3 linked regions of the Coturnix japonica genome follow. The protein of the gene in region 3 interacts with the protein of the main gene of each other region in a pairwise test. Links are inferred from orthologs where the notes say so. Each region holds a gene or a part of one and is shown on either strand. Other genes may lie near its edges.

Region 1 (4,358 bases), on a different chromosome or scaffold from region 3:
TCCTTATCCCTCTCATCATCCTGCTGAGTACTAGGAGATACCTGTCTGCTATCAGCCAAATCTCTCAGAGATGATCAAAGTAACGCTGATCAGATCCTTAGTTTACATTTCTCACAGTGGGAATGCAATGAAGTTGCAGATAGCAGGAAACTATAAATGAGAACAGCCTGAATATGCCCTGGCTTCACCTGACTGAGGCTGATGTTATTTGTTTTCTCTTTAAGTTGCCAAACATTGAAGCACTGATGAAAAAGGAGAACCAGAAGATTTTAACGCCTCTGGTTAGCTTGGACACACCTGGCAAAGCTACAGTGCAAGTGGTCATTTTGGCTGATCCTGTGAGTAGCATCAGAAACAGTAATAAAATCAATGTCTCTTTCCTGTTTATCTGCCTGACCTGCTGTTGAATTGGGTTTAGGATGGCCATGAAATCTGTTTTGTGGGAGATGAAGCATTTCGAGATCTGTCCAAGGTGGATCCCAATGGTGGCAAACTGTTGGATGATGTAAGTAATGATCTGTCTTTTGTTTTCATCCTGATCACAGCCGCCCATGGAATCAAATATTCTTTGCAGCAGAGCAGCTTTCAGTGCCTGTTTTCATTACTAATATACAAGAAACAGTTTCTTCATCAGGCTGGCTTTCCCCCTGGATTATAGAGCCTGATAATCAGCCTGTTGTTGTGGGGCAGGGTGGTGAAAGTGGGCAGCTCAGTGTTTGGAATGGCAGCTGAGTCAGCCAAACATGCTCCTATTTTCCTTTGTTCAGGCCATGGCAGCTGACAAGAGCGACACGTGGTTTGCTGCCCGGAATATGAAGAAGGTGTCTGCATAGCTGGAGGAGGAGCTGGGCTGGCAGGTCATCATGCCTTGGTTTTCATCTGAGCTGTGCTGTCCATCCCATGGGAGGGCTCAGTCACGTCCCATGCTGTTCTGTTGGTTCCTTTTCAGCTTGTATCTCTTTCATTTCAAGCTCCTCTTTATTTTCAATCAAATATCAGGTGCAACTTCAGACGTGAGTGTAAAGCAGGGAGGATGTTGGGCACGTGGCTTCCAACGCTGGAGCTGCAGGTGAATGCCTCCTAGTGCGGTTGCACTTGAAGGAGAAGTTGCCAGGTTGATTAAAGTATCCAGATCTGTCATGAATGAGCTGTAGCCGTCCTGACTGCAGCGCAGGGCTGAGATTGGTGTGGTAGCAGCAGCTGCAGTGCCCGGTGCTGTCGGTCAGGCTGCTCGTTATTGATCTCTTGATGAAAAGCAGCAGCATTAGCAATGCCTGCAATGAATAGTCTAAATGGGAACAGTTCTCGACGTGCCGGTGTTGCTTTGGCGTTGATGCAGTCAATGAGTCGGGGTCGGATCAGTGCTGACGGTGATGCCGTTGTTGGAAATGAGCCTTGATGTGAATAAATTTTTATGTGAATTTTATGCAATTTTATGTGAATTTTATGCAATTTTATGTGAATAGAAGCACCGCGCGGCTGTGTGCGCAGCGTCCTTCCAGCCGGGGGCAGACACCTCCGCTCCGCCAGGGGGCGCTGTGGGATCGCGGCGGCCGCCTGCTCTGCCGGAGCGGAGCGCGGGCTGCGTTGTCTGCTCCGTTGGCCGCCATGGAGCCGGGCAGCGGGGAGCGGGTCGGGCCGTGGGGCGTGTGCGAGGAGACCGCCATCCTGCACGGCGGCTTCCTGCTGGCCTCCAGGCTCCTGCAGCCGCGGCCGTTGAGGGAGCTGCTCAAAGCCGAATGGCCGCTCGTCGGGCCGCCCATCACCGACGCGCTGAGGGAGATCGGGGCCCGCTGCCCTTCACCGCGGCAGCACGGGCTGTGGAAGAAGGAGGCCGTGGCCATCGTGTGGGCCAAGGTGCTTCTGCCCGCCCCGCCCGCCGCCTCCCTGGACCAGGAGTGGAAGGAAGACGCCTTTTTCTCCGTGGGAGCGATGATCCCCGACGTGAACCGCACCGTTCTCTTCGAGCTGGTGAAGGCCCTGGGCGCTCCCCGGCTCTTCGTGCAGTTACTGCTGGCGCTGCCCCCCGACGTGAGCCGGGCTGAGCTGCGGCACCTGGTGCAATATGTCAGCCACGAGACGGCCCCGTCGGATGTCACATTGCTCATGGATGTGTGGTGGGAGGCGCTGAGACAACAGCCGGATCCGGAGGACAGCACGGTGGCTGCATTCGGCTCCCTGGTGCGTGAGCACGGCTGTGAGTGCGCTCTGGATGACGGCTTGCAGCCCCCAAAGAGGTTCAAGGGGGACCCCAGCTCTCTGAATGGCCCTCCTGCTGCAGACAGCCTGCTTGGGGTCCTCATAGAGGGGTTAAAGCAAAGCTACGGCAGCATCACCTCACCCCGCATGAAGTGCTACGCCCTGGGCAACCTGGTGGAGCTGCTGTCTGTGTTCACCGAGCTGAAGCCACAGGGCAGCCCCCTCCCTGTTGCAGAGTACCTGGCCAAGGTCAGCTCAGTGGTCGGCCTCTGGAGCAGTGACACTGAAAGCCAGCACCACCACAGCGAGCTGGATGAGAAAGTGAAGGAAGCTGAGAGGACCATGAGCTTCTCATCCATGGCCAAGCTGTCGCATGAAGAACTCATAGCTGGCTTGGACTTTCTTCACAGCTTGTTGTGTGCCTGGGGAGAGGAGCTGCGGGGTGTCCTGAACAGCTCAGAGAATCAATGCTATGAGAGCTACTGGCTCCTTGATACTCTTTCCACCTTCAGGAAGATCCTGGTTCGCTTCTCTGAGACTGGAGACCTGAGTGAGGATGAGATGCGTGTTGCATTACAACTGGCACAGACAGTTGATGGCTTTCTCACAGAGATCAGCACCACCCAGAAGAACAAGGATTTGGACACCAGCCTTGAATCCTCAGTTGCCATGATAATCATTGAGCAAAAGCTGCACCGGCACATGGAAGTGTGCTCCATTTTTGCTTCTGAAAAGACCTGGGCCTTTTCAAAGGGCTGGGTTGACTGCCTTGTGAAAAACAAGGTTCTTTTCCAGAAACCAGAGCTGGTTTGGAAATTGCTGGAGACTCTGGTGAACTTTGCCACATCCTGTGAAGGCCGTGAGGCCCGGGAGATGCAGATGCAAATGATCAAAGCCATTGTGGAGTGTTACAGTGAGCTTCCATTAACAGACAAAAACAAAGTGATCTCGGGTGTCCTGGAGGCTTGGGGTGGGCCAGGGCTCTCCCTGAACTTGCAGGTTGTCATGGATGGGTTCCAGGAGGACCTCAATGTGACTTTCAACCAGATCACTAAAAGCTTATCTGATGAAGGCATTACCAGGGCTGTGGCTGCTGTGGCTAGGCTTGCTCTGCTGCACCCTGAGGCCACTGTGAAGCAGATTTGTAGTCTTGCTGTAGTCAACCTAGGAGCACATCAGTTCCTGGCGCAAATCCTCTGCTCTTTCCCAGCTCTGAGCTTCCTGGAGACTCATGATGGTCCAGGCAGCCTGGTGGTACGGTGCCTGAAGGAGGCAGCATGGGAAAAGCTTTCCTCTGCAAGGGAGGAGGAACAGTTTCTTGAGTTTTTGGCCTTTCTCCTGCAGCCAAGTTCAGCTGCCCCACTCGTATCACCTGCAGAAGTGACCAAAGCTTTTGTCCTTCCCTATTTGAAATCAGACTGTGCTCAAATTGAGCTGAGCCTGCAGATCCTCAGTAAAGTTTTGGGAATACGGTCCTACCCAGAAGAGCACTGGATCAAGTCCTGCCACCCGTTCCCACTTCTCCTCAGCCTCTGCAAGCTTCTAGATGGCTACACAAAGTACTGGCATCAGCCTAAGGACCAGCTCTTCCCATCCCTGGAGATCAAAGACCTGGTGCTGAGTGTCCTCAGCCAGCTCTGTGAGGTCGTGACTCCAGAAACTGCCTCCTCCCCAGAGGTTTGGGTCCAGTCTCTGGCCTGGCTTCACAGGAAGGTGGCATCGCTGGACTGGACCATTGGTCTCCGACTGAAGAAGTTTTATGGAGACCACTTCAAGAATGAGGTCCCAGCGACGCTATTTGAGATCTGCACATTCCCTGAAGATGAATGGACATCCCAGCCTTTGCCAGCCTACGGGCCGGGCAGTGGACTGCTGGCATGGATGGAGTGCTGCTGTGTGTCCACTGAGCTCAGAGAGACGATGCTCTCACTCCTCATGGTCAACGTGGACAACCCCGAGGAAGTGAATCTCTTCAGCAAAGGCTTCCTGGTGGCCCTCATACAGGTCCTCCCTTGGTGCAGCCACGGTGAATGGAAGAGGCTTGTGCATGTGGTCACAAACCTGCTGGAGAGGCAAGTGTTGCACGTGCCGTACACACTGGAGTATGTGCAGTACATGCCCCTGCTGAACCTCCGGCCATTTGCCTGCTACCTCCAGCT
Region 2 (2,669 bases), on a different chromosome or scaffold from region 3:
GAAAAGGGGAAATGGGTTTCAGCTGGAGTAAAATCTTGGAGTTTAATGTGACTTCAGATGTACATATATATTTTTAAACTTTCATGCCATTAATTTATTTTCTATTCTTATCTGAAATTATTTGATTGTGTGCTGATTTTGATTCAGATTTATAACTGCTTTGCTGTCTGCCTTTGTGGGTGTTTATTTGTGTGAAAAATGTGAATAAATGGAGTAGAATTAAGGACTTATCAACTAAGTTTATTTAAACATTTTTGTAATATAGGGAAGTCATAAGTTTTACTGTAAGAAATACTCTTTCAGTCACTTTGCTTCAGCAAATTGAAAGGAAAAAACTTTTACAGTGCTCCACTCAAAACCACTAGTTGACAAAAAACACTGAAATTTTTTCAGTGGAAGTTCCTCTCTGAAGTAGTTAGCTTCCTTTAAAATGTAATTAGAAAAGCATTATAAGTAGCACACCACACTGGGCTACCCAGGAGCTGGGTTCTTCTGTTCAGTCCCTTGTGGGTTCAGTTGTGTCTCTGTTTCTTTATATGTGGAATGGCATTAATGCATTTTTCAAGAGCATGTTGAATTTGCAGTTTTTTCTAAAGGGCTCTGAGGTCTTCCCATTGAGGGTATGACAGCAGTGATGCATATTGCAGCTGGGCCTGCAGCCTTCTTGCTGTAACTCTTTTCCATCCCATGCAGTCATTATCCTTACATCCCCAGGGCACTCATTCCATCCCAAATTTGATCTCTTGACAGTCAGGGAGCCCTTGCTGTACTTTTAACAAAAAAGACGGGGCTATAGTACAGCTAGGAAGATGGTTATCAACCTTCAGTGACACCATGTCTATTTTCTTTTTTTTCCTTTCTTCTTTTACAAAGGTAAAAGTTTGGTTCCAGAACAGACGGATGAAGTGGAAGCGGGTAAAAGGAGGCCAGCAAGGGGCAGCAGCCCGGGAAAAGGAACTGGTGAATGTGAAAAAAGGCACGCTACTCCCCTCTGAGCTCTCTGGCATTGGGGCAGCTGGTCTCCAGCACACGGGGGACTCACTAGCGAATGATGACAGCCACGACAGCGATCACAGCTCTGAGCACGCGCACTTATGATACACAGAGATTGTCCCAGATCCGTTCTCAGGAAAGATGCTTTGCTGGCAAGCCTTACACAGGCATCGTTTACGTATGCAAGTGACTCTGGCAGTGATTTTTAAAGTTGTTATGGAAGATTCAGGCTTATTGTGTCTGTTTTTCTCAATTTTTAGATGGTTTACAGTAAGTGCCATGTCTTAAAGGTGCCTCAAGATTGGAGAAGTGGAAGATGAACTTTGAACATTCCAGATTTGTTTGTCATGTTTATGACAGCGGGCAGGTATTTTTGCTTTAGCTTGCACTGAAAATTACATTGCTCTCAACAGACATTATATTCTGAAAACCACAGTGCCACAAAATCACTATCTAGTGGATAAGAAATGTATTTTAACTCTGTATATATTTACCTTACAGCATTTTCCTGTCTTCACTAATTTTAGCAATGCATTCATATTAGCTGATGGCAATAGTCACTCATGACAATAAATGGCTTTTTGTCTCTTTATTTTTGTTTTGTTTCGCCAAAGACATACAATACATGCAGATACTTTTGTTCAAGTAGAGAAAGTATCTGCTAGGACACGTCCTTGTATGACAGACAAAACAAATGTTATGTTGCATTTACTATCAACTGCTGCTAATAGGGTATTATTAAACTTACCTAGCTCCTCAATTCTTCTTATCTTATAACTGCAAAAAAAAAAAAAAAGATTTTTAGGATCATAAGGATAGTCCAGTAACCTGCCAGAAAATGTTCATATTCAGTGGAAACCCCAGAAAGGATTATTCATTTCTACTTTGTCATCACTGAGTACATTGATTAATACTGACTCTGTGGAAATGTTGCTTCATCTTCAGTTTAAAAAGCAGTAAGCTGGAAGTTATTATCAACTGCTTATGTTGGTAGGAATCAAAATATGAAGGTAACTCACTATTGTGTCCCATGTATAAAACCAAGACACATTTTCTGTTACAAGCTTTTGTGTACATACAGGCAAACACCAAAACTCAAAATTTAATGCAAACCATTGATTGTACTTTGTAAAGAAAAATGTTTAATAAATAATCCTTTTTAAATACTTCTGGTCTTTCTACAGTGATTTCATAGGAAACTTAAGAATATTGTTTTGTAAAAGTCCTAAGGAACTCTGACTTTTTTGGGTCTTTTGGAACTTCATCTGTGAACAACACAAAGCTACATTTTCAAATTTAGGCTTTTAATCTTGGATAAACTTTCCACCTTGATCCATTTGGGAAACTCTTTCCTTCAGCAGGAAAAAGGCATCTAGCAGCTAATGATGTCTTCAGCCAAAAACAACAAGAGTCTGTTCAACCATTTTTCCAGATCTAGAGTGATTATAAAGGGTTATTTTGTTGGATCTTGTTGAAATGAATAAAAATGAATAAAAATCAGGAAAGGGACGCATGCTTACATCACAGTGCCTTTATCTGATAGTGTTGTTCAAGAGAAAGATACTAAAATGCCTCCAAAAAACATAAGGGGTGAATTCAACTGGGTTCTGCAATAGAAGATGCAGAGTGAAAGAAAGTGCAAGTGGTAAATGTGCATGTCCTTGAGAGTATTCACT
Region 3 (4,262 bases):
CAGTGCATGCCAGATGAGAAGTCACAAGCTCCACAGGTTCTTAGCTCACTTCCAAACAGAATTCAAAACTTCTGCTTCATCTCAGCTGTTGTGTCTCCCGTGGTCCCCAAGATAACGTCATAGGATAAATTCAGCTTAAAATTACAGCGCACTAGTAACAGTAGAAGGTACTGGCTATTCCCAAAACGTCAAGCTAAAGAGTCCAATCCTGACAGAAACCATTTCAAGGTGTAGAGCGCATCTTTGTGCAAAGCCATCTCCAAGACACCAATCAAATAAACAGTTCCGAAAGCATACACAGAGCAAAGTAGGCCTCACTTCGTTCTGAAGGAATCCCCAGGAAAAACCCGGTTGCTTTTCTTGGATGTTCTTGAGAGTCACACACTTTCAGACAGCATGCAGTAACACGGAACTTTCTTTTTGAAATTAATCTATGGAGGTTTTTTCTTACAGCACTGGGGCTTTTCTTTTTTTTAGGACTAGGGTAAAACATGTCAGCTCTAAGGATGGGGGAAAAAAAAAGCCTAAGATTTACAAACACCCCTCTTCTCCAGCTGATGCTCACTTACAAGGTTGATTTTGTCATCACACCGTGCCAGCATCTTCCAGAATTCAGAATACATCATCTCGTGTTAACTTAAGATAGTCACTATGGATATGCCAGGGTGGATGCTTAAGTACAAACTGCCTACAACTTGTTTGGTCAGTGTGGCAGAGCTTGCCAGCAGGAATGGCCACAGGAACGGCCCAGGGCATTGCCTCAGTTTCTCCTGAAGCCATTAGCTCTGCTTCAGCCCCTATCAGTGCTGTTCTGGGACCTTACTCCTACTGTCTCACAGTTGAAAGTCAGCTGCATTCCCTTGTTTCACAGGGCCCAAGGTTCTAACCTCACATCTGCTTAGCATGTTATTTTCCACAAAGCAACCATCTCCTATCACATGATCTCAGGGGACAACCACGTAAACTTCCATGAAAAACAGCAGGGAGGTACAAAACGGCCCGCTGGAGGTACTGGATCCTTTTGATGGCTACAAATACTCGTAGGAAAATAAAACTTCTTTGAGCTTAATGATGTACTGTGGGCTTTTCTTCTCCATCTCATTGTTTTTTCATGTAGAGTTTAGAAATAAACAATGAGCACACTTAGAAGGAGGAAGTTTTCCACACATGCTTTCTATTAATTTTATTTCCTCCACAGATTTTCTCATAGTTTTACTCACCAACGTTTTCCTTCTGTTCTCATTGAGGAAAACAGGCAGAATTTCCCTCCTTTCCCCACTAGTTGCTACTAAATTTCTGGAAGATCCAGAAGACATTTCATTTTAACATTAAAAAAAAAAAAGAAAGAAAAAGGTTTTTGCAGCAGTGCTGACTGCTGCCAAATAATTATTTAATAATTATAATGAAATATTTCCAAGAGGAAAAAAATCTGTAAAAATACCATGATTTCATTCCATTATAGCCACAACAGGTACAAGCAATGCAAGGAAGTAACCCATAGTGCTGTACAGGTTGGCTGAGAAGGGGTTTTATTCTATTCTTTATTTACTCCAATGAAAAGATGACACTGGAAGATGACATCTGGGGACTGGCTCTCACCTCAGGGATAGAATTCCATGAAGGCCACCTCTCTGCACTACCCAGAGACTGTGAGACCAATGCAGAAGCCAGTGGGTTTGGCCTAGGACAGCTTAATCATGGAATGGCCTGGGTTGAAAAGGACCACAATCATCACCGAGTTTCAACCCCCTGCTATATATGCATGGCAGCCAACCACCAGACCAGGCTGCCCAGAGCCACATCCAGCCTGGCCTTGAATGCCTCCAGGGATGGGGCATCCACAACCTCCTTGGGCAACATGTTCCAGGGCATCACCACCCTCTGCGTGAAAAACTTCCTCCTAATCTCTAACCTAAACCTCCCCTGTCTCAGTTTAAAACCATTCCCCCTTGTCCTATCACTGTCCATCCTCATAAACAGCTGTTCCCCCTCCTGTTTAAACACTCCCTTCAAGTACTGGGAGGCTGCAATGAGGTCTCCTCAGAGCCTTCTTTTCTCCAAGCTAAACAAGCCCAGTTCCCTCAACCTTTCCTCACAGGAGAGCTGCTCCAGCCCTCTGATCATTTTAGCAGCTCTCCTCTGGACCCACTCTAAGAGCTCCACATCCTTCCTGTACTGGGGGCCCCAGGTCTGGACACAGTTGTGGTAGAGCTGGGTAGAGGGGGACAATCACTTCCCTCTCCCTGCTGGCCACCCCTTTTTTAATGCAGCCCAGGATGTAGCTGGATTTCCAGGCTGCAAGCTCACACTGCTGGCTCATGTCCAACTTAATCTTGGATTTGATTTTACTTTGAAAGAAAGAAAAAATGAATCATAATCTCAACTTAAGTATTTGAGAGTCAGGCTCCAGAAGCACATTTGCTAATCCAGCGCTGATAAGGTTAATGAGATCAAAGCCAGACCCCACTGAGTGTTTAACAGAGATGCTTCCTAACATGGGTCAGGGTGACTACAGCTGTGTGTCACAAACACACCGAAATCAGCATCAAGATGACACAGATCAGCCCTTGCTCTGATTACACTCGCTACTCCCACTTTCTGCCTCCCACCGACTCTCTCAGCCCCTATCTTTCCAAACTAAAATCAGTGAGTGTTTGATTTCAGGGCAGAAATTCATACAGTCATCTTCAAACATTGTGTCCGTCTCCTCTCCTCCCCAGCCCCCACTGTTAGGCAGTGAGGGCTCCTTGGGCTCTGCTTCAGGCACTTACCTTCTTATCCAGCAGGCAAACCAAAGTCCAATCCCTTCAATTCTGTGATTCGGCGAAAAACTCAGACCCTCAGCAGTCAAGTATGCAGGGAGCAGCTCTCCCACCATCTTCTTTTAAGTCTCCCCAGCAAGCACGGAGGGGCCTAACAAAGCTCTATGCAGCCAATTGTGTTATCAAGGCACTTGGCACTACCAGCTGACCCTCGATTGCTATTCATCCCTCGGGAAAATAAAACACCCTTTTGTAGTGAAAGTGTAACCGGTTACTATGATGCGTTACATTAACAAAAGCAGCTTTTTACCAAAATTACGGATGATGAAAGCCTGGATGTGGGCTCAGACCAAGGGAACCAGTTGTTTCTACATGTTTCAGACAGCTTAACCAAGATTTCCACGACACTAAGAAGAAAGAGGTGGATGAGTTATGTTACATGTTTGTACAAAAAACAGCAGTGAGTTCTGTAAACCAAATTTCAAGGATTTTCTGTCACAGAGATTTTTTGTGTGGCAGCATCCTGTGCACACCACCGTAATCTCAGTATTCATGGGATCTCTGGTATTTTTGTGCTTTGCTTGAAATCAACACAGAATTTTTTAATATGATTTTCTATTTTTACTTTTTCTTTTCTAGGGGTCCTGCTTATTAAAGAGCATAACCATCTGAAAGATAGAATCTGTAGGGTAGAAGGGTAGAGCTTGCTGATTTGGTGGTGAGGAAGCATGCCAGCACATTCAAGGTTGTATTTGTGTTCTAATCTACTTAAGCACCCCTTGGCCTTCACACCTGCAGCCCTGTTTAGGGATCCCTCACTCTCAAGGCAACAGCTCTCCATTAAAGCTGCGGTGCCCAGGTTTGGGCTGTGGCAGTGCAGCCAGGGGGACATTCACCTGAAAGGAGCCCAATGACTTTGGTCGCCTCACCTTACTGCACCCAACACATCCAGCTCCCAGCTAACACAGCAATCCAAACGCCACGGAGATGCCTCATGCATAACAACGTGAGGCCAAATAGACACAATTCACATCCTCAGCTTTGGGAAAGCTCACTGACAGAGAAGCTGCTTTCCATGGCATTAAGCAGAGAAGGCTGGACGGGAGCAGCTACCCTGTGTGAAACCTGAAGCACTCTCCAGCAGTGTAGAGAAAAGACATGACCTCATTGTTCCACAACCCAGATAATCCATTCCTGGATAAAGCGAGAGACAATGAGTATTTCACCTTGAAGGTTATCAAAGAGTTTGCCACTCTCCATGGAGGCGTTTGCTTCCCCAGACAGGGATGTGAGAACTTCTCTGTGTTAGTGAAAGAGACGAAGCCATCAAGGGGTTGTGGCTGAGACCACACAGCCATGCCACACAGGCACAGGTACTGAGAATGGCAGCATGTCCTGGCCTATTCATGCACACAGGATGGAGGCATGTCTCTCTGAAAGTAATGCCACATATTTGCACAGAAACAACAACAGCTACAAAGAACATAACAACACTATTTG

The links.
Region 1: the proteins of SPRY1 (region 3) and GEMIN4 interact in binary tests that used the Homo sapiens proteins (3 or more experiments, as listed by UniProt). The link is inferred for Coturnix japonica from reciprocal best matches to the Homo sapiens genes SPRY1 and GEMIN4.
Region 2: the proteins of SPRY1 (region 3) and MEOX2 interact in binary tests that used the Homo sapiens proteins (3 or more experiments, as listed by UniProt). The two-hybrid records come from large-scale screens. The link is inferred for Coturnix japonica from reciprocal best matches to the Homo sapiens genes SPRY1 and MEOX2.

What each region holds. Positions count from the first base shown.
Region 1 is NC_029534.1:5,681,766-5,686,123, forward strand, and holds the start of GEMIN4 (gem-associated protein 4), read left to right. Parts: upstream 1-1,412; 5' UTR 1,413-1,425; coding exon 1,426-4,358. Other genes in the region: GLOD4 (glyoxalase domain-containing protein 4), read left to right, coding at 225-338, 419-505, 768-833. UniProt on the Homo sapiens protein: The SMN complex catalyzes the assembly of small nuclear ribonucleoproteins (snRNPs), the building blocks of the spliceosome, and thereby plays an important role in the splicing of cellular pre-mRNAs.
Region 2 is NC_029517.1:25,705,444-25,708,112, reverse strand, and holds the end of MEOX2 (homeobox protein MOX-2), read left to right. Parts: intron 1-873; coding exon 874-1,098; 3' UTR 1,099-2,159; downstream 2,160-2,669. UniProt on the Homo sapiens protein: Mesodermal transcription factor that plays a key role in somitogenesis and somitogenesis and limb muscle differentiation. Required during limb development for normal appendicular muscle formation and for the normal regulation of myogenic genes.
Region 3 is NC_029519.1:47,745,920-47,750,181, forward strand, and holds the start of SPRY1 (protein sprouty homolog 1), read right to left. Parts: upstream 2,889-4,262; 5' UTR 2,772-2,888; intron 1-2,771. UniProt on the Homo sapiens protein: Inhibits fibroblast growth factor (FGF)-induced retinal lens fiber differentiation, probably by inhibiting FGF-mediated phosphorylation of ERK1/2. Inhibits TGFB-induced epithelial-to-mesenchymal transition in lens epithelial cells.